Macaca fascicularis: one gene and its partners. The protein of the gene in region 1 interacts with the protein of each later gene in a pairwise test. Links are inferred from orthologs where the notes say so. Each region holds a gene or a part of one and is shown in the gene's direction. Other genes may lie near its edges.

Region 1 (4,137 bases):
GTTTCCTTATCTGTAGGATGAGTATAATAATAGTGCCTACCTCGAAATGGGGTTTGTTTTTAGGATAAGATGAGCTAATGCACATCAAGTGTTTAGAACACAGATGGGGCCCAGAGCGGTGGCTCCTGCCTGTAATCCCAGCACCTTGGGAGGCCGAGGCGGGAGGATCGCTTGAGCCAGGAGTTCGAGACCAGCCTGGGCAACAGAGCGAGATCTCGTCTCTAAAAAAAAAAGAACACAGACAGCAACGAGCAAGTACCATATCGGTGTTTAGTATTATCGTTGTTGTACTACTATATTGCTTCTAATGCGTTTTGAGCGCTGTCCACTTGAGGCGTGATTTCTGTCTGCAAAATAAAACCAGTCCTGCCTCTGGCCCTGGAACGCGGATATCCACAGATAAAGGAGGAACACAAGATAGGCAAAATTCCCAAGTCTTCTAGGCTTTCGCCGGCCGCGCAGGCCTCTACTGCCTAAGAACGTCCTCTACAGCGCCCCACCTGCCGATCCCGGATTGACCCCTTCAGGGTTCCGTCCCCCCCCACCCCCCCCGCCTCTTACCTTCTCATACAAGTTTTGGTCTTCGGGTTCTGGGTCCTCTTGCCACTGTGTGGTCGGTTCCAGGGCCCGCTTTCTCGCCACAGCGGACGGGGCGACCACAGTCCTGGAGAAGCTAGATTCCCAGCGGACGCGGGCGGCCGGGAGCCCTCGCGTTGCCGCTGCCGCCAAAAGACGGCGAGCGCTCAAACCAAACAGCCCAGCCGCCATGACAGATGGTGCTGCAGGGTCTGAGGGGCGGGGACGGAAATGCGACTGTGCGCAGCTGCAGTGGGTGAGAGCGCGACAATTATCGCTCCGCCTCCGCCATGCTATATAGGTCCCAGATCTGATTTTGTTTTCCAGTGAGGCGGGGCGTTGAGCAACCCTCTTTGCCTCCAGTTGTCGTGGCTTCGTGGGGCCAACCATTCTCTCCCCCTTTCGGCCAGGCTGAGAAATTTCTTATTGATGGATCTGCTCATTTCCTGGATAGGAAGAAATCGGTGACATTGGGTGGATATAGTTCCCAGCCAATCGCCCAGAGTTCCCTCGCCCTTTGGGGAAAGAGGTGGAGCTTCCGCTAGTCTTTCATCTTCAAAGGAAATCAAGCTTCTAAAAAGCGGGCCCTGCCGGATTGGCCAATAGCTACTTCTTTTCTCCACTAGGGGAGCGTTCGCACGGGTGTGGGGAGGTGTGGGGAGGTGGCCAGCGCTTGCCAATCAGAGGAGGCCAGGGCTGTCCCCTGGCGGGCGGTGACCAATCGCCGGGGCCGGCCAGAGCGCGCTTCCTTAGTAGGTGGATGGTGGTCGGAGCGCCGACTCCCTTCTCGTCGTCGCCATTTTGAGCTGGTGACTGGCCGGCTGGGAGTAGGCGGCAGTGAGTTTCCTTGGGAGGGCAGCGCGCTTGGCGCTTCTCCCCTCCCCCCGATCTGCCTGCAGTCTCGGACTTGGTAGTTGCGCGCTCCGGCTCCGGCTGAGCTGGGAGAGTTGGAGGAGGTGGCGGCGGGCCGAGGTGATGTCTGGGAGCCCTCCCTTGACAGCCCGGGCCGAGAAGGTGAGCGTCGACGCTGGTCGTGGGGGCGGAGGTAAGGGGCCCGGGGCGGGGACGTAGAGGAGGCGCGAGGGCGGACTTCGGGTCGGTGGGATGCGCGGAACGGAGGGGTTCGTGCAATGTCTGTACCCGGGAGGGGTTTTTTTTGTTTTTTTTTTTTTGGTGGTTTTTTTTTTTTTTTTTTTTGGTGTGAGCAAAGGCGCGTGCGCGACTGGGACATGGGATGGGTGCGTGCGGGTTGGGGGAAGGGAGGGACGAATGGGAGTGGGCTACTGTGGATCACTGTGTCGGCTACACCGAAGTTTATCATTGGGGAAGCGGTTGTCTGCGACTTGTGCATAGGAGAGGGGATGCTGCTCTGTGTTACTCTGGTGTTTATCGATCCATTGGGAAATATTCTGTGGTTCTGGTCTTTATTCCTGGGGGATCAGAGGGAGGATGTGGCTCTGGTCTTTACCCTTTGAGGGAGAGTGTCTGTGACTCAGATCCTTATCCATGGGGCGGGGCTTGGGGGACGACTGTCTTGTGATTGACCCTAACCCACTTACTGGGTGGGGAGGGGGATGCAGGGAATGTGTGTGTGACTCATTGCCCCTTCTTTTGGGGAGTTTGTGAGAGTGACGCTCATCCATGGAAAGAGGACCTAGTGTGTAATTGTGGTCCTTACTGTGGATTCCTTCTGTGATGTGGGCCCGTAGTTATTTGGGGCTCGTGTCTGTGACTGGCCCTTGGCTGTGGTGGATGTTACTGTGTGACTCTGGCCCCTTTGCCAGAGTCTCTTGAGGGTTTTTGTGCTCTCAGCCGCCAGTGCCTCTGGTGTGATTCTAACTCTTGCCCACCTGGGAGCAGGTAATTCGGGTTCCCTGTGGCTTGAGGAGGAAGAGAAAGTTGGAATGTGCGTGTGTCTGTGTGTGTGTATGTGCACGCGCATAGAGCAAAGGCGTGGCAGCAACCTAGTGTTGGGCAGGTGCTATTTTTGCCTGGCTTTACCTGATTCCTGTTCAGAGGGTGGAGCCTGAAGATCTGGGATTCATCCTGACCTCTGGCTGGGTCACAGGGTTCTCAGGACTCCTTGAGTTCTCACCACAGCCCTGAGGGTTGGATGAAGTGGCTGCTGCTCCATCCCAGTAGAAGAGCACGGTGGTTCAGAACAGCCTCCAAAAGGGCCCCTTTTGCCTCTGGAAAACGGGCTTGAGCCCTGGGGAGGGAATCACCTTGGGACCTGGCTGCACATAGGAGACAGGGCTCAGGGCTGAGCCAGTTGCTGTGTGAGGGCCAAGGCTGTGTTGGCCAGGAGCCCAGGGAGGTAGCAGCTGTCTCGTTGCCAAGTTAGCCCCTTCATACACACCCCCAAGAACCTTTCATGGTCTTTTGCTGCCTTATAGGGGACAGCCAGCAGCTTGTTGGGAGGATGAGATGGTCCCTTGGGGCCCATGGAAGGAGCCTGGTGGGTGCCTGGGGCTCCCATTGTTGTGAAGTCTTGCCTGATGTGCTGAATCTCAGGCAAGACTTTCAGCCCTGAGAGTATCCCTACGGCCACCCTGGGATGCAGCCCCAGGCTTGAATTTGTCTACCTGTCTTAGGTGGCAAAGCCCTGATCACACCGTGGGTGGCCCCGCCAGGTCTCTCTGCAAGATGCCCCTTGTCTGCTGAAGTCTTTGCTGTTTTCTTTATTTTTTTATTTATTTTTTTTTTTTGAGACGGAGTCTCGCTCTGTCACCCAGGCTGGAGTGCAGTGGCCGGATCTCAGCTCACTGCAAGCTCCGCCTCCCGGGTTCGGGCCATTCTCCTGCCTCAGCCTCCTGAGTAGCTGGGACTACAGGCGCCCGCCACCTCGCCCGGCTAGTTTTTTGTATTTTTTAGTAGAGACGGGGTTTCACCGTGTTAGCCAGGATGGTCTCGATCTTCTGACCTAGTGATCCACCCGTCTCGGCCTCCCAAAGTACTGGGATTACAGGCTTGAGCCACCGCGCCCGGCCGTCTTTGCTGTTTTTTAAGGCAGTGGGCTCTAGCCTCATGTTTGCGGGGAAAGGGAGGAGCAGGCCAAGTAGGGGCTACCTTCACACTGTGATGCACAGGAGTGCTGGGAGCTAGAAGACAATGTCCCTGGGCTAAGGGGCGGCAAAGAGCCTTGACAACGAGGGTTTCTCAAGGAGGCCTTCTCTGTCCCAACTGTTTTGACCCCTTTTTTCCCTCTATTCTCCGCAGAGTCCCTGCAGGAAGCATCACCCAGGCTGGCAGATCATGGTAGCAGCAGCGGGGGTGGCTGGGAAGTGAAACGGAGCCAGCGGCTGAGGAGGGGCCCCAGCAGCCCCCGAAGGCCCTATCAGGACATGGAGTATGAAAGACGGTGAGTTACCCGTTCCCAGCCTCCCAAACAGCCTAGGCTTGCCTCTATGTGAGAATTGATCCAAGAAGGTGCTAGGTTGGGGCTTCTGGGTAGAGGAAACAGCAATAGCAGATGAGGAGTTTCTTTTCAGCAGACAGGTATTTGGCACCTGTTGTGAGCCAGGACTTGTGCTGGGCTCTGAGAGTGCAGTGATGAATGAG
Region 2 (3,516 bases), on another chromosome or scaffold:
TATTTTGGCCCTGAATTTTAATCCCTCCCACCCCTGGCCCAGCTTAATGCCTTGGTTTTGGCAAACTGCCTTAGAAAGGGACCTAGCTGCAGTGTGGTAGAACATTTATCTCTTAAGGGGCGAAGAATACTGATTTTTAATTCCAAAAAAACAAAGATTTAGGCTCTTTGTTGTTAGTAGTGCTGTGTGTGTGTTTAGTTTAGCAAGATGTCCTCTGCTTTATCAGTTTTTACTAAAAATAGAAGAGAATTTCTTTTTTCTTCTCTTGGTTGTCTACAGATTTCATTCATTTTTAATTTTTCCTTCCTAAGGTATGCTGAGGTGGTGGTAGCCTCTGAAAACTCTGTCCACAAATTGTTGGAACTCCTACCAGGAAAAGTTCTTAATGGAGAAAAAGTGGACGTGAGGCCGGCCACCCGGCAGAACCTGTCACAGTTTGAGGCACAGGCTCGGAAACGTGAGTGTGTCCGAGTCCCAAGAGGGGGTACGTGGAGACCATCTGTATGAAGGGGGGGATGTTTGTGGGTTTGTTTTCTGTGGTGTAGGCTCAGCCTACAGTGTGGATGAGTTTGGGGGAGGGTGATGGTGGTTGTAAGTGGTGTCATGGTCAACAAGTAGTCCCCAAAATAGGTCTGTATAGAAGAAAGAGCATTGTGCTGGGAGTCAAGCAGGTTCAGGTTGTAGTTTGGTTCTGCCAATAATTCATTGTGTGACCTTGGCCAAGTCACTTTACTGCTTAGGGCCTGTTTCCTCATCTGGACTAGTGACATGATATTTAAAGTTCCATCAGCTCTAAATTCTGTGTTTCTGTCTAAAAATTGGCATATGGTGAATGGGCTTAATTTTTAAGACATGCCTCTCTATAAATTATCAAGAAACAGCCACCCTAAAATGTAACTAAAAGGTGCCTATAATCTTTTCATAAACGTTAATTGGAAAGATATTGAAAGGAATCAACCAAGAGGAGTGGTGGAGAATAAGAATTGAACAATATTTCTCCAGCATTGTCCAGGGGAGAGGGTGCTCTTTTGATTACCAAATGTTTTAGTCTGTTTGGCAGGTATATCCCATTAGTAAAGTTAGAGGCCGGGCGCAGTGGCTCATGCCTATAATCCCAGCACTTTGAGAGGCCAAGGTGGGTGGATCATGAGGTCAAGAATTTGAGACCAGCCTCACCAACATGGTGAAACCCCCATCTCTACTAGGAATACAAAAATTAGCTGGGTGTGGTGACACATGCCTGTAATCCCAGCTACACGGGAGACTGAGGCAAGAGAATTGCTTAAACACGGGAGACGGAGGTTGCAGTGAGCTGAAATCAGGCCACTGCACTCCAGCCTGGGCGACAGAGCAAGACTCCGTCTCGGGGGTGGGTGGGAGAGTTAGGGGCTGGGCGTGGTGGCTCACACCGTAATCCCAGCACTTCAGAAGGCCAAGGCGGGCAGATCACCTGAGGTCAGGAGTTGGAGACCAGCCTTGGCAACATGGCAAAACCCTGTCTCTACTAAAAATACAAAACTTAGCCGGTTATGGTGGCACATGCCTGTAATCTCAGCTACTTGAGAGGCTGAGGCAGGTGAATCTCTTGAACCCCAGAGGTGGAGGTTGCAATGACCTGAAATTGCACCATCACCCTCCAGCCTGGGTGACAGAGTGAGTCTCAAAAAAAAAAAAAAGCAAGCTACACCAGACTACCCTAGTTTGAGGACAGTTTCCCTTACATTCATCTTACTCTCTTTATTCTGACTGTACTCACTAAGCCACTTTCTTATGCTAATTTGGTTTCCCAATTAGGGTCTCCTACTGGGAAGAGTACTAAGTACTCCGGTTTGCTTGGCAGTTACATTTTTCATTGTAAATTAATAAATTGGTGTTCTGGTTTATGAGTCAGTCTCTTGTGAGTTTGGTTAGCATGAATCAGTCTCCTACGGCCTAGTCACCCCGGTTGAAGCAAGTTTCTGAATCTGAGAAACCTGAGGACTAGACCTTGGATTTTCCTGACCTGATAAAGTGCAGCCACCCTGCAAGGCCCTCCCTGAGACAGTCAGCCACCCTTACTTTCTTTTGCTACAGTGGGAGGAACAGCAGAGTTTCATCACCAATGTTCTGTCACTGCTTAGGTCCAGCTCTCAAAATAGTGCCTTGTATTGATTGGGTTTATCCTCCAAGTAGAAATAGGACCACTTTGTTCTTGCATAGGAACAGCTGTTCTTTTAACTAGATTGACAGCCTAGATAGATTTGGGGTGAACTCTTACTGCTCCATGTTAGAAAGGACACACTTTTCTTCCTTGACAAGTATTTTCAAGTTCCCTCTGTTTTGGAGTCTTTCTGTAATTCGCCGCTGACCTTCCTTAGGTATGTAATTTTACAGTTGTATTGGGAATAGCATTCCTACTTCTACTCAGCTGCTTTTCATGTTACCTTTCTTTGCTGAAAAGATTGTAGTAACTGAGTGCAGTTTTTCTCTGTCGTGCTGATAAACCTGGGCTCTGTTAATCACTAAGTAAAGCTGGTGGACTTCCTCTGCATAAAAATGGTTGCCTCTTTTGGGACTTGTAGCCATAGGTAAAAAACAGAATCCTTGCAGATGTGACAACAGTAGTAGCTGGGGAAGTGGTTAGCTGTCAGATGACACTTGCCTAATACCTTTTTGTTCTTCAGTTTGAGAGAACTCTAGGAAAGAGCCAGTTGCCATGTGTTTGGGACATGAAGAACAAGACAGCACTGACACTGTTTCTGTAGTAGAGAAGTCTAGGTGGTTGTCAGCATAATTGATTCCACCTTAGGCTTTACTCAGGAGCTGGGATTAACTATCGTGTTCTAGTTTAAGGAGCACTCTTTCCCTCCACACTTGCTGCCAATGGCATCTTTCTATTTCTAAGACTTCCCTGGTGTAATGTGATCTTGTTCTATTGGATTCCACATTAAACAGGCTTAAACTGTTAAACTGGAGAGAAGGAACAAGTTTAATCAAGTGACTTGACAGTGTCAGAATCCATGCTTCCAGCTGTTTAAAACATGTTCTGAGCTCCTGTTGTGCACAGCACCATACTGGCATGTGGTGATGGTGTTCGTGTTAGGCTGCCCTGAGGAGTAGAGGATTTTGGCCATTGAAATGTAGCAGGAGTTCCCCAGATTTAAGACATGGTTTGTAGCAAGCTTTTGCTAAGCATCCTTACTGTCAGCTGTGTGTCATGTGCTCGTGCTGTGGGCAGATCTTTTATTGGCCTATCTCCCAATTTTTCTTTCACTTAACCTCTAATTGTCTAGTCTTTATGCGTGTCTCTTTCTTACCCTGATTACTGGTTTTAGTATGTAAATAGAAGTGTCATCCAGTTCCTGCCACTCCCTCTCTTCCCATAAATTCCCTAGCCAACACCCTGTGGCAAAGAGAACATTTTAAATGTGCAACAGGAAGAGGTTAACTAGTATTAGTTTAAGGAGAGAGATCCTGAACTCTTCAGGAGATGTGGGGTTTCAAGTCAACTGCAATTCACCTGAACATCAGTGAATA
Region 3 (4,083 bases), on another chromosome or scaffold:
GATAATTTGTCCAGTGAGTAAAAGATGGCTCTCATTTGTGTTAACCATCTTTTTATTTTCTTATTAAACTACCTCTTCTTTCTTATAATCTTATCATTCAAGAATGGGTATTTTGCAGTGAGAAAGGGATCCACAACTCACTTTTTCTGTCATCTGTAACAATGTTTTTAAAATGTACTTTCTGCTTAACGAGTTTTGAATCCATCCACAAACGCACCAAGTAGCTATATAACGTGGTGGACAACTTTGTTATTTGCAATTGATAAAACCAAACACAAGGTTGTTCACCAGCTATTATGTAGCAGGCATCACAGAGTATACCTGTAATAGTGATTTTTCATTACTGAAATTTCAGTACTGGCTCATCTGTTCTCTTGTTTCAAAAATCCAGAAGATGGGAACACATTTATAAAGACACTTTACAAGGTTATTAATATCTATAAAACCGACTAAGTATGCATTTATTAAGCCCCCAGGTGTTGGGATTGTACTTGGCGAACATCTAAGGCAGTAAAATTACCTTTTCTGTGGTATTCTACGGTCTACAGGAGCTTTTTTATTTTTATGTTTTGAGATGGAGTCTCACTCTTTTGACCAGGCTGGAGTGCAGCGGTGCGATCTCGGCTCACTGCAGCCTCCATCTCTCGGGTTCAAGGGATTCTCCTGCCTCAGCCTCCCGGGCAGCTGGGATTACAGGCGCCCGCCACCATGCCAGGCTAATTTTTTTTTTTTTTTTTTTTTTAATTTTTAGTAGAGACGGGGGTTTCGCCCTGTTGGCCAGGCTGGTCTCGAACTACCGACCGCAAGTGATCCGCCCGCTTCGGCCTCCCAAAGTGCTGGCTTCGGCCTCCCAAAGTGCTGGGATTACGGACGTGAGCCACCGCGCCCGGCCACAGGAGCTTTTTAGAAGATGCTTTACGCCACACAGTAATGCAACACTGAAAAGACAAGTCGCCTTTTCTCTGCTTTTGCATCTCTTTCCTTAACTTCTGGAAATCTTGAATTTCCACAGTTGTCTACCGAAGATTCTCAGTACATCTACCATCTGAGCCTTGACTGTGTCTCCGAATTTCTCCTGTTGCAAATCGAGGTCCCTGGACTGGGCACAATCTGGGCATGCGCAGAAGCTCAGCCAACTCGGGGCTCCGCCTCCCCTCCTCTAGCAAGGGGAAGCGGGTGAGCGGCAGCGCGCGTGCGCAAGCGTGGTGGTGGGATACGCCTGGAGAGCGCATGGGCAGAGAAACATTACGTCCGTTTGTCCGGACCGGAGGGGCAGTGGGCGCCATCTTCTTCTAGGCTCACTGAGGGCTCTACGTGTTCTGGGGAGGCTGCTGCGACGAGGAGTGCCCTCAGCCTCCGGCCTTGTGTGTCCGACTCGGCAGCAGTGGTGTGTGTTTATTGCCAAGTGCGAAGCAGTTCCCCTCGGGGCGCCGGGGGTGGGGAGGGCTGGGCGACCAAGCCGGAAGAACCGGGAAAGGCGGGACCGGCGGCCGCGCCAGTATCTAGCGTAGCTCCTGCCGTTAGGGCACCCTCTTTTCTTGCTAAAACACCGACTCTCCCTTTCCCGTCAGCTTCCATGTGGTGGTGTATGTGCGCTTCCCAGGGATCTTGAGAGTGAAGATCTCGAAGGATTTCATAGGTATTTCTTTTTCTTTGCTATGTCATCGTAGTTAGTAGTGGCAGAAAAGCGCTGCAGGCCCGGCTCGTTAGGCTTGAGAAGGGCAAGTGTTTTCAGTTAGATTTGGGGGCAGTTCACCCTCTGGCGAGGTAGGGTGGAATGTTTGCCCTTGAGACGGCGTAACGGAAAGGCACAGAGGTTGGGCGGTCCAGGTTAATTTGAAGGCTGATTTTGGCTGAAAGTCTGGCAACAACATCGGATCCCACGTAGCAACTTTGGCCTGGCGCGAAAGAAGGAAGCTCTGACCCCTGGGAGTTATGGACAAAGGCTTTGGGCTGTAGAATCGATGCCTTCGGATGATTCCCGTTTGAGGATGTTGGGAGAAATCCTGTGCCGTGTGGATTCGTCTTCATTTACAGTTCTTCTTAGGGACTATGGCTCTCATTGGTCATTCCTTTGGTTTTTATTTTAAACATCTACATTATAAAAGGTGGATCATCATAAAGAATAATTGTGGGTTGGTGTAGATTATTTTCTCCAGGGGAAACTCACGTTTAGAGTGCGAATATGCTACATCATGACTTTGGGCTTTACGAATTAGTCGCAAAGAGTTAAAAAAATTCTCTCTCTCACCATATCTGGAAAATGACTTTTTCTTCGCTAGTTAAAAATCAAATGGATCTAATGAGATATTACTTATTCAAATTCTGCCTCCCTCCCCTTTCCCTCTCTGTATCCCGTTAAATCTTGATTAGAAGATACACATTACATATTGTTTAGCTATAATGATGATTAAGTGGGATGAATCGTATAAAAATAGAAGTTATTTAAAATGCGCTTTTAATTTCACTGACTTAAGTGACCTTTTAGGGACCCACTTTCTTTTCATAGAAATTTTAACAGATTATTGTCTTCAAATGAACACAAAGGCACGAAAATACTTTTTGCATTCATAACTAGAAAAATGCAAAATTTTAATTGCAGACTAGGGTAATTTTCGTGTTTTGCTTTCTGTAATTTAGTGTGTTAAGAGCTGAATTTCTGGAGAATTTGCTTAAGGAAATAGCATGTTGGAACCACAGAAGTGCCCATTTTGAGAGCTGGTCTTTTATAGTTGGTCTCCAAGGTGTGATACTGTGGAGGCATAAATGGTACATTACCCTACTGTCTCAGGGGCAGAGAAGTTTAAGCATTAGTTGTGTTTAACTGTGGCAAATGAGAGTAAGCTTTTTAAATAGTCTGCTTGAATTGGAATTCATGAGATTTGTGCTCATGAAACTACTTAGTTAAAAGATCTTACTAGAGATTTTTTTGAATTTGAGATATAATTATTCCTTGAAATGTCTCTAATTTCTCTTGTAGATGAATTTATGTTCCCAGGGTAAATCCCTTTAAATTTTTTTAAAAAGCTTAGGAGAGACAAGAATATGTATATCTTACGGTGCTTTCTAAAATATCTTAACAGTAAAAGAGTAGCTAAGCCAATTTGCATAGGAGGGAGTCTTGGGACTTTAATATGGATAAGCATTCCAGAAGCCATTTATAGTTTTTGTTGAAGTGTTTGTATGGATATTGGTTTGTTGAAGAAAATAGGCTTTTTTTGGGTTGTTACTGTGCAAATACTTGAATAGCAAACCTCATTAATATTTTTCAGATGTAGAATGTGTGAAGTAATTTGATGTCTTTGCTAGTTTAGCTTCTAGTTAATCTATGGACCCTTTTTAAAGGAAAACAAACAGACCTCAGTGAATGTATCTTCAGACCCCCACTTTGGGGAACAGTGGTACTTAAGTGTAAGTACTGGATTCTTGATTAATGCAACATTTATTTGTACATTAAAAACATGTAAATTACGCCAGGCGCAGTGGATCATACCTGTAAATCCTAGCACTGTGGGAGGCTGAGGCAAGCTAGTTGCTTGAGCCCATGAGTTCCCTACCAGCCTGGGCAACATGGTGAAACCCTGGCTCTACAAAAAATACAAAAATTAGCCGGGTGTGGTGGTGCACACCTGTAGTCCCAGCTACTTGGGAGGCTGAGGTGGGAGGATTGCCTGAGCCTGGGTAAGTCTAGGCTGTAGTGAGCCAAGATCGCACCACTGCACTCCAGCCTGGGTAGCAGAGCGAGAGAGACCCTGTCTCCTCCACCAAAAAAAGTGAGTGTAAATTATAATTATTATTTTGGCAAGTCTTCGTGAAATAGTTTGGGTATCCCTGAAAGTATTAAACACAGACTTCTTTAAAAAAAAATACATTGAGATTTTCAGTAAACTGGTAATCCCAGTATTCCAGGTAATTTTTACTTTTACTTTCTACATCATCATTTGGGTTTCCTTAGTAGAGTGAAGAATAGTTGTTTGAAATGGAAATCTGCTATTGGCATTACTAATAAGATAAATAGCATTTTCTGTTTGGCTGAGAAGAATTTTACCAGTTAACTATTTTTGCAGTATAAGGAGTGCTATT
Region 4 (2,178 bases), on another chromosome or scaffold:
AAATCCTTAATTTGGAAGAGTAAAACCACAATAAATTTAAACTCTCACTATCCCCGTTTACCTGGGCCTAATGGACATCCCAGTTGATTAGAAAATAAATACTTTTCTTTCATTATTATCTGCCTTTAATTCAAATTTACCCTGTTCGTATTTGTCCAGACTGATGCTAAGAGAACTAGAAGCCCCTCTTTCCCAGTACATAGATACAAATGTGCAATGTTTGTCTTCCTGTGCAGCACACAGAAAATTACTGGTAAAAATAGAATACAGTTTTTTTCTTTTTGAGACAGGGTATGGCTCTGTCACTCAGACTGGAGTGCAGTGGAACCATCTCAGCTCACTGCAGCCGTGACCTCCCAGGCTCGAGGAATCCTCCCACCTCAGCCTCAGCCTCCCAAGTACCTGGGCACATACCACTATACCCAGCTAATTTTTGTATTTTTTGTAGAGACAGGGTTTTGCCGTGTTGCCCAAGCTAGTCTTCAACCTCCTGGACTTAAGCAGTCTCTTGGACCTTGGCCTCCCAAGTGCTGGGATTACAGACATGAGCCACGGGCACATTTATTCTATAGTATGTATTTTACTTGAATCTTTTGGTGAACTCACTATAAAAAGTTAAACATTAATAAATGAGGGCCCAGCGCAGTGGCTCACGCCTGTAATTCCAGCACTGTGGGAGGCCAAGGTGGGCGGATCACGAGGTCAAGAGATCGAATCCATCCTGGCCAACATGGTGAAAGCCCGTCTCTACTAAAAGTACAAAACTTAGCTGGGCATGGTAGCATATGTGGTGGCAGGCGCCTGTAGTCCCAGCTACTTGGGAGGCTGAGGCAGGAGAATCACTTGAACCCAGGAGGTGGAGGTGCAGTGAGCCAAGATTGCGCCACTGCACTCCAGCCTAACAACAGAGCAAGACTGTGTCTCAAAAAAAATTTTTTTTAATTAATAAATGAGATAGATAACTAGAGCTAATCTTTAATCCAGTATGATAATACCATTGTAACATCTTTAATACCAATGTAAGATCTTTCCTACGTTGGAAAGTTTGGGTGCCTTTATTTTAAAAAAATCAGCACAGATAATTGAATTATGCCTTCTTCTTAGGTTTCCTCTTACTCGACCCAGTCTTTGTAAAGAATGGGAGGCAGCTGTCAGAAGAAAAAACTTTAAACCCACCAAGTATAGCAGTATTTGTTCAGAGCACTTTACTCCAGACTGCTTTAAGAGAGAGTGCAACAACAAGTTACTGAAAGAGAATGCTGTGCCCACAATATTTCTTTGTACTGAGCCACATGACAAGGTAATATGCGTTTTAAAATATTGGGTTGCTTTCTGTTTATCAAACTGATATGTTCATTGATTAAAATGTGGAAAACTCAGTTAAAGAGAATAAATGTGCCTGGAACTTTGTGTAGTTAACAGTGATACACTTCTGAAAACACAAAATGCGGTTTATTTAAGATAAATATCCTCACACTAAGAAACTTAGTCCAGCCCTTGTAACTTACTTAAAAATCACTCTGTACTGCCAGTTATATATTGATAAGTTTTGGGTTTTCTTTATCAGTGACAGTTTAGTTTCAAAGCATTTTTTTCTCCTCAGTGCTTAGTATTTAATTGGATCTGATTATTCATTTTGTCTCTTTCTTGCACCGTCCCTTTATTGCAGGTAGAAAAGTTTATTCAAACTGAAACTGTTTTCTCATTTTGGAATGTTTCTGTACCACTGATTCACCACAAAAGTCTAATATTTCTTAAATTCCACAGAATATTTATTTATTTATTTATTTATTTATTTATTTATTTATTTTTGGGAGACAGAGTCTCTCTGTCACCCAGGCTGGAGTGCAGTGACATGATCTTGGCTCACTGCAACCTCCGCCTCCTGGTTTCAAACAATTCTCTTGCCTCAGCCTCCCGAGTAGCTGGGATTATAGGCATACACCACCACACCCGGCTAATTTTTGTATTTTTAGTAGAGACGGGGTTTCGCCATGTTTGGCCAGGCTGGTTTCAAACTCCTGACCTCAGGTGATCCGCCCACCTCTTCCTCCCAAAGTGCTAGGATTACAGGCGTGAGCCACTACCCCTGGTCAGTCCACAAATTGTTTTAAACTGTTATTTTTAGTTACTAAATTCAAACATACTTTGTACTTTTGTTTTAGAAAGAAGATCTGG
Region 5 (4,012 bases), on another chromosome or scaffold:
AGTTTCTGCTGCAGATGGTGGTGTTAACTGCTGCAACTCTTGTCCTGTCTTGCTTAGTTCCTACGGATATTTTTGTTTCTTGTCATTTGAAAGATTAAGAAACAAAAACAATCCAGAAATTGATCGGTTTTTTTAGACCAATTCCATCCCTTCTGGATAACCAGATGTTAAATCGTGAGATCAGAGATGCTGTTCATCAGTCCCAACAAGATGGCCTAGAGATCGCATTCTCACCTCGCCTTGCTGCTGCTTTAATTCCAACTTCTATTTCTTCCCTTATAGTTTTCTATGGGAATGAGGCGGATACAGGAAACACCCTGTCTCCTGTGTATTTTTGTAGCGGAATTTTCTATTTAAGGGGCTCATTAAAGCATAGTATTTATACACATTACTGGCATTGTTTCTTGTGTTTGAATAAAGGATTCTCCTAGGTAGGAAAGTGGTGGGTAAAAGGTGGGTATGATCCAAGAGAGGAAAGCATCTACTGTATTATTGCTAAGGAAATAGGGGAACTGGATTTGGTGAGACTCTGCAGAATTCAAGTGCAGTTTGGGGAAAGGATTCTGTGTGTGTCTCCCATTTAGAGGCAGATGGGGCCAGATTGTTCTAGAGATCCAGACTGAAGTCTCTGAGCTCCGATCCTATCCACCCCTCACCTGTGGTCACACACCACCTTGGAGCTGCCCTCACCCTCCCCATGCAATTACGACGAGATGAGCGCAGACGTCACTCCAGCTCAGACATTTCGCAGTCTCCTCCCCTGAGGGAAAACCAAATACCTCCAGCCCAAATCAGGGCTGTTGAGGCCAAATCTGCAAGAAGGTTGCAGGCGAGATGGAGGGTTCCCTCTGCGCCTGAAAGCAGCCAAGTCCTCGGGTTGGGGGGACTCTTCAGCACATCCTTCTCTGGACAACAAAACATCATCACTGGCTACAAAATACATGAAAACTGAAGTTTTTGTTCTTTTAGCTTTCGAATTTACATTTTTGGGAGCAGTGTGATTCTTTCAAGTCTAGCAGTGCATTAAGACGGTCTGAGCCACTAGCAGCGGCACCTCTGCGCGAGTGCCGAGGACTCCACCGCTCAACCCGAGTTAAGTCTTGGAGGATCCTAAAATGGCTGCAGCCGCTTCCAGGCCCCTCCTCTTCCGCGGCTCCGCCCACCGCTACGTCCTCCTTCGCCCCGGAAGTGGAAGTCGTGCTGAGGTCAGAAGGCGGAACCGCTGCTGGGAGACGGCGGGAGCTCTTTCGCCATGGCTGCCGGGCCGATCTCCGAGCGGAACCAGGGTAACTGGAGGGGGAAAGTCTGGAATGGGCTCAGCGTGGCTAGGAGGCCCCTACTACAGCCAGAAGTGCCTCTGCAGGGGTGGGAGACTGGACTCATCCATTCCCCAGAGGGCGCGAGACCGGCCCCGTGCCTCCTGGGGGCGGGGTGGCCAGGTGCTGGCTGAGGCCTGTGTGTGTGATACTTACGTCCAATCCCCTGCTGAGTTCTCACTCAAAAAAACAAAAAAATCCACTCAGAATACTAAATTAGACTTCAGAGGATTCCTGAAGTCCTGGAGAGAGAAGTTTAAGGGTTTAACTTTTTTTTTTTGCTCCTGTCCCCTACCCGCGTCCCCAGTTCCCCCGGTTGGGTTCCATCTTCATGTTTCCATCACCTCCTTCTTTCATGTTATACTCTCACCCTTGCTCTAACTTTCTGCTCCCTCCCTTCAGATGCCACTGTGTACGTGGGGGGCCTGGATGAGAAGGTTAGTGAACCACTGCTGTGGGAACTGTTTCTCCAGGCTGGACCAGTAGTCAACACCCACATGCCAAAGGATAGAGTCACTGGCCAGCACCAAGGTGAGTACATGACAAGGGGCAGTTTGCTTCCGGAGGGTCCCGGCAGTATTCACAACTGTTTTGGAATAACATGAGCAACCTAAAGTATTTCTTTCTTTTAAGCCTCTGTTCAGTTTATTTCTGGAACCATTCTTAAGTGAGATTGTTTCTTTCTTGTTCTTTGTGATTAGAGGGTAGATGAGTTTTACCCCATTTTCAATCTCTTATGTTGTTAACCTCCTCTTCTCCACTTCTCCAGGCTATGGCTTTGTGGAATTCTTGAGTGAGGAAGATGCTGACTATGCCATTAAGATCATGAACATGATCAAACTCTATGGGAAGCCAATACGGGTGAACAAGGCATCAGCCCACAACAAAAACCTGGATGTAGGGGCCAACATTTTCATTGGGAACCTGGACCCTGAGATTGATGAGAAGTTGCTTTATGATACTTTCAGCGCTTTTGGGGTCATCTTACAAACCCCCAAGATTATGCGGGACCCTGACACAGGCAACTCCAAAGGTTATGCCTTTATTAATTTTGCTTCATTTGATGCTTCGGATGCAGCAATTGAAGCCATGAATGGGCAGTACCTCTGTAACCGCCCTATCACCGTATCTTATGCCTTCAAGAAGGACTCCAAGGGTGAGCGCCATGGCTCAGCAGCCGAACGACTTCTGGCAGCTCAGAACCCGCTCTCCCAGGCTGACCGCCCTCATCAGCTGTTTGCAGATGCACCTCCTCCACCCTCTGCCCCCAATCCTGTGGTATCATCATTGGGGTCTGGGCTTCCTCCACCAGGTAAAGCTTTTGGTTAAAATTTGTTTGTCTTAAGGTTGGGGGAGAGAGTCAGGAGGAAGAAAAAAAGAGCCTGAAAGGGGGATGGGACATGGAGTCAGTGAGTGATGGGAAGAGGACTGAGGGGTGATGGTAGTGGTGGAGAAGAAAGTTGTTGGGTTTCTTTAGGAGGGTGAAGTTGGTTGACTTTTCTAACATTGCTTTTGATTTTAGAGCACTGGGAGGAGGGGGAAAGAGCTCACCCTGCCCAGAGAGGCCAGATCAGGACAGGCTCTTTAAAGACATTTTCTCCTCACTACCATTAACTTTTCCTTTTTCCATTTCCTCTATAGGCATGCCTCCTCCTGGCTCCTTCCCACCCCCAGTGCCACCTCCTGGAGCCCTCCCACCTGGGATACCCCCAGCCATGCCCCCACCACCTATGCCTCCTGGAGCTGCAGGACATGGCCCCCCATCGGCAGGAACCCCAGGGGCAGGACATCCTGGTCATGGACACTCACATCCTCACCCATTCCCACCAGGTGGGATGCCCCATCCAGGTAGGTGTGCTTTGTTGGGAGGGAAGAGCTTGGTAGAGCATCTCTGTTACCTCTCACCCTGCTGCCCTTTGTTCCTCAACAGTAACAGTTTCAGAGTTTCCTTTCCTTCAGACATTCTATTATAAAAACATACAAAATACTCTCTAACATCCACCTCCCTGTATCCATTTCTTAAGTTTTTCTGACAAGAAGACTATACTTGCTGGTTTTTATTTCTTTAACCTTTAGTTCCATTCTCTTCTCTGACTCCAGCTCAAAGTGGTGACCTAATTGCCAAATCTCAGGGACACGTCTGCTCCTTATCTAGTTTGACCTCTGATGTACTTGAAACTAGTCGTGTCCTCCTGTTTGAAATTCTCGTCTCTTTTTGCTTTTGCTTTTCTAGATCCTCCACCCCTCTGACTCCTTAATCTCAGCTACCATGATAGACTCTTGTCTACTTGTGCCTAGATTTTTGTGCTTGTTTCTCTTTTCTGCATATATCTATAGTTTTAATTGGGCATATACTGATGCCTCCTAGATCTGTATCTCTAGTCCATAGCTGTTGACATTCCGGATCCTTAATGCTTTAATGCTGCTGCTTAATAGATAGCGTCATTTTTCTGTCCCTCTCCTTCAAACCCATTCTTTCTCTAGCAGTCTTTTTTTTCAGGTGCTTAATTCATGAATCTGAGAGTGATGTTTGACTGCTCCCTATCACCCCACTCTTAATACCAAGTCTTATTTAATATCAGTGGCATCTCTCCCCATGGCCAGTGCCCTAGTTCAGTCTCTCATTCCCTCATTATTTAACACTTAATTTATTGTAGTAATCTCCTTCCACTTGGACTCCAGTTTTCCCTAACTTC

Evidence for each region.
Region 2: the proteins of RBM10 (region 1) and CPSF7 interact in binary tests that used the Homo sapiens proteins (3 or more experiments, as listed by UniProt). The two-hybrid records come from large-scale screens. The link is inferred for Macaca fascicularis from reciprocal best matches to the Homo sapiens genes RBM10 and CPSF7.
Region 3: the proteins of RBM10 (region 1) and RBM12B interact in a two-hybrid assay, tested with the Homo sapiens proteins (3 studies listed by BioGRID). The link is inferred for Macaca fascicularis from reciprocal best matches to the Homo sapiens genes RBM10 and RBM12B.
Region 4: the proteins of RBM10 (region 1) and THAP1 interact in binary tests that used the Homo sapiens proteins (3 or more experiments, as listed by UniProt). The two-hybrid records come from large-scale screens. The link is inferred for Macaca fascicularis from reciprocal best matches to the Homo sapiens genes RBM10 and THAP1.
Region 5: the proteins of RBM10 (region 1) and SF3B4 interact in binary tests that used the Homo sapiens proteins (3 or more experiments, as listed by UniProt). The link is inferred for Macaca fascicularis from reciprocal best matches to the Homo sapiens genes RBM10 and SF3B4.

The regions. Positions count from the first base shown.
Region 1 is NC_088395.1:47,252,741-47,256,877, forward strand, and holds the start of RBM10 (RNA-binding protein 10), read left to right. Parts: upstream 1-1,327; 5' UTR 1,328-1,551; coding exon 1,552-1,621; intron 1,622-3,795; coding exon 3,796-3,937; intron 3,938-4,137. Other genes in the region: NDUFB11 (NADH dehydrogenase [ubiquinone] 1 beta subcomplex subunit 11, mitochondrial), read right to left, coding at 562-768. UniProt on the Homo sapiens protein: Binds to ssRNA containing the consensus sequence 5'-AGGUAA-3'. May be involved in post-transcriptional processing, most probably in mRNA splicing. Binds to RNA homopolymers, with a preference for poly(G) and poly(U) and little for poly(A).
Region 2 is NC_088388.1:12,623,025-12,626,540, forward strand, and holds part of CPSF7 (cleavage and polyadenylation specificity factor subunit 7), read left to right. Parts: intron 1-311; coding exon 312-484; intron 485-3,516.
Region 3 is NC_088382.1:103,388,536-103,392,618, reverse strand, and holds the start of RBM12B (RNA-binding protein 12B), read left to right. Parts: upstream 1-1,274; 5' UTR 1,275-1,387; intron 1,388-1,571; 5' UTR 1,572-1,639; intron 1,640-2,160; exon of another isoform or gene 2,161-3,411; intron 3,412-3,632; exon of another isoform or gene 3,633-3,773; intron 3,774-4,083.
Region 4 is NC_088382.1:46,376,711-46,378,888, reverse strand, and holds part of THAP1 (THAP domain-containing protein 1), read left to right. Parts: intron 1-1,104; coding exon 1,105-1,300; intron 1,301-2,165; coding exon 2,166-2,178. UniProt on the Homo sapiens protein: DNA-binding transcription regulator that regulates endothelial cell proliferation and G1/S cell-cycle progression.
Region 5 is NC_088375.1:111,352,211-111,356,222, forward strand, and holds the start of SF3B4 (splicing factor 3B subunit 4), read left to right. Parts: upstream 1-1,208; 5' UTR 1,209-1,252; coding exon 1,253-1,286; intron 1,287-1,718; coding exon 1,719-1,847; intron 1,848-2,085; coding exon 2,086-2,628; intron 2,629-2,957; coding exon 2,958-3,164; intron 3,165-4,012. UniProt on the Homo sapiens protein: Component of the 17S U2 SnRNP complex of the spliceosome, a large ribonucleoprotein complex that removes introns from transcribed pre-mRNAs.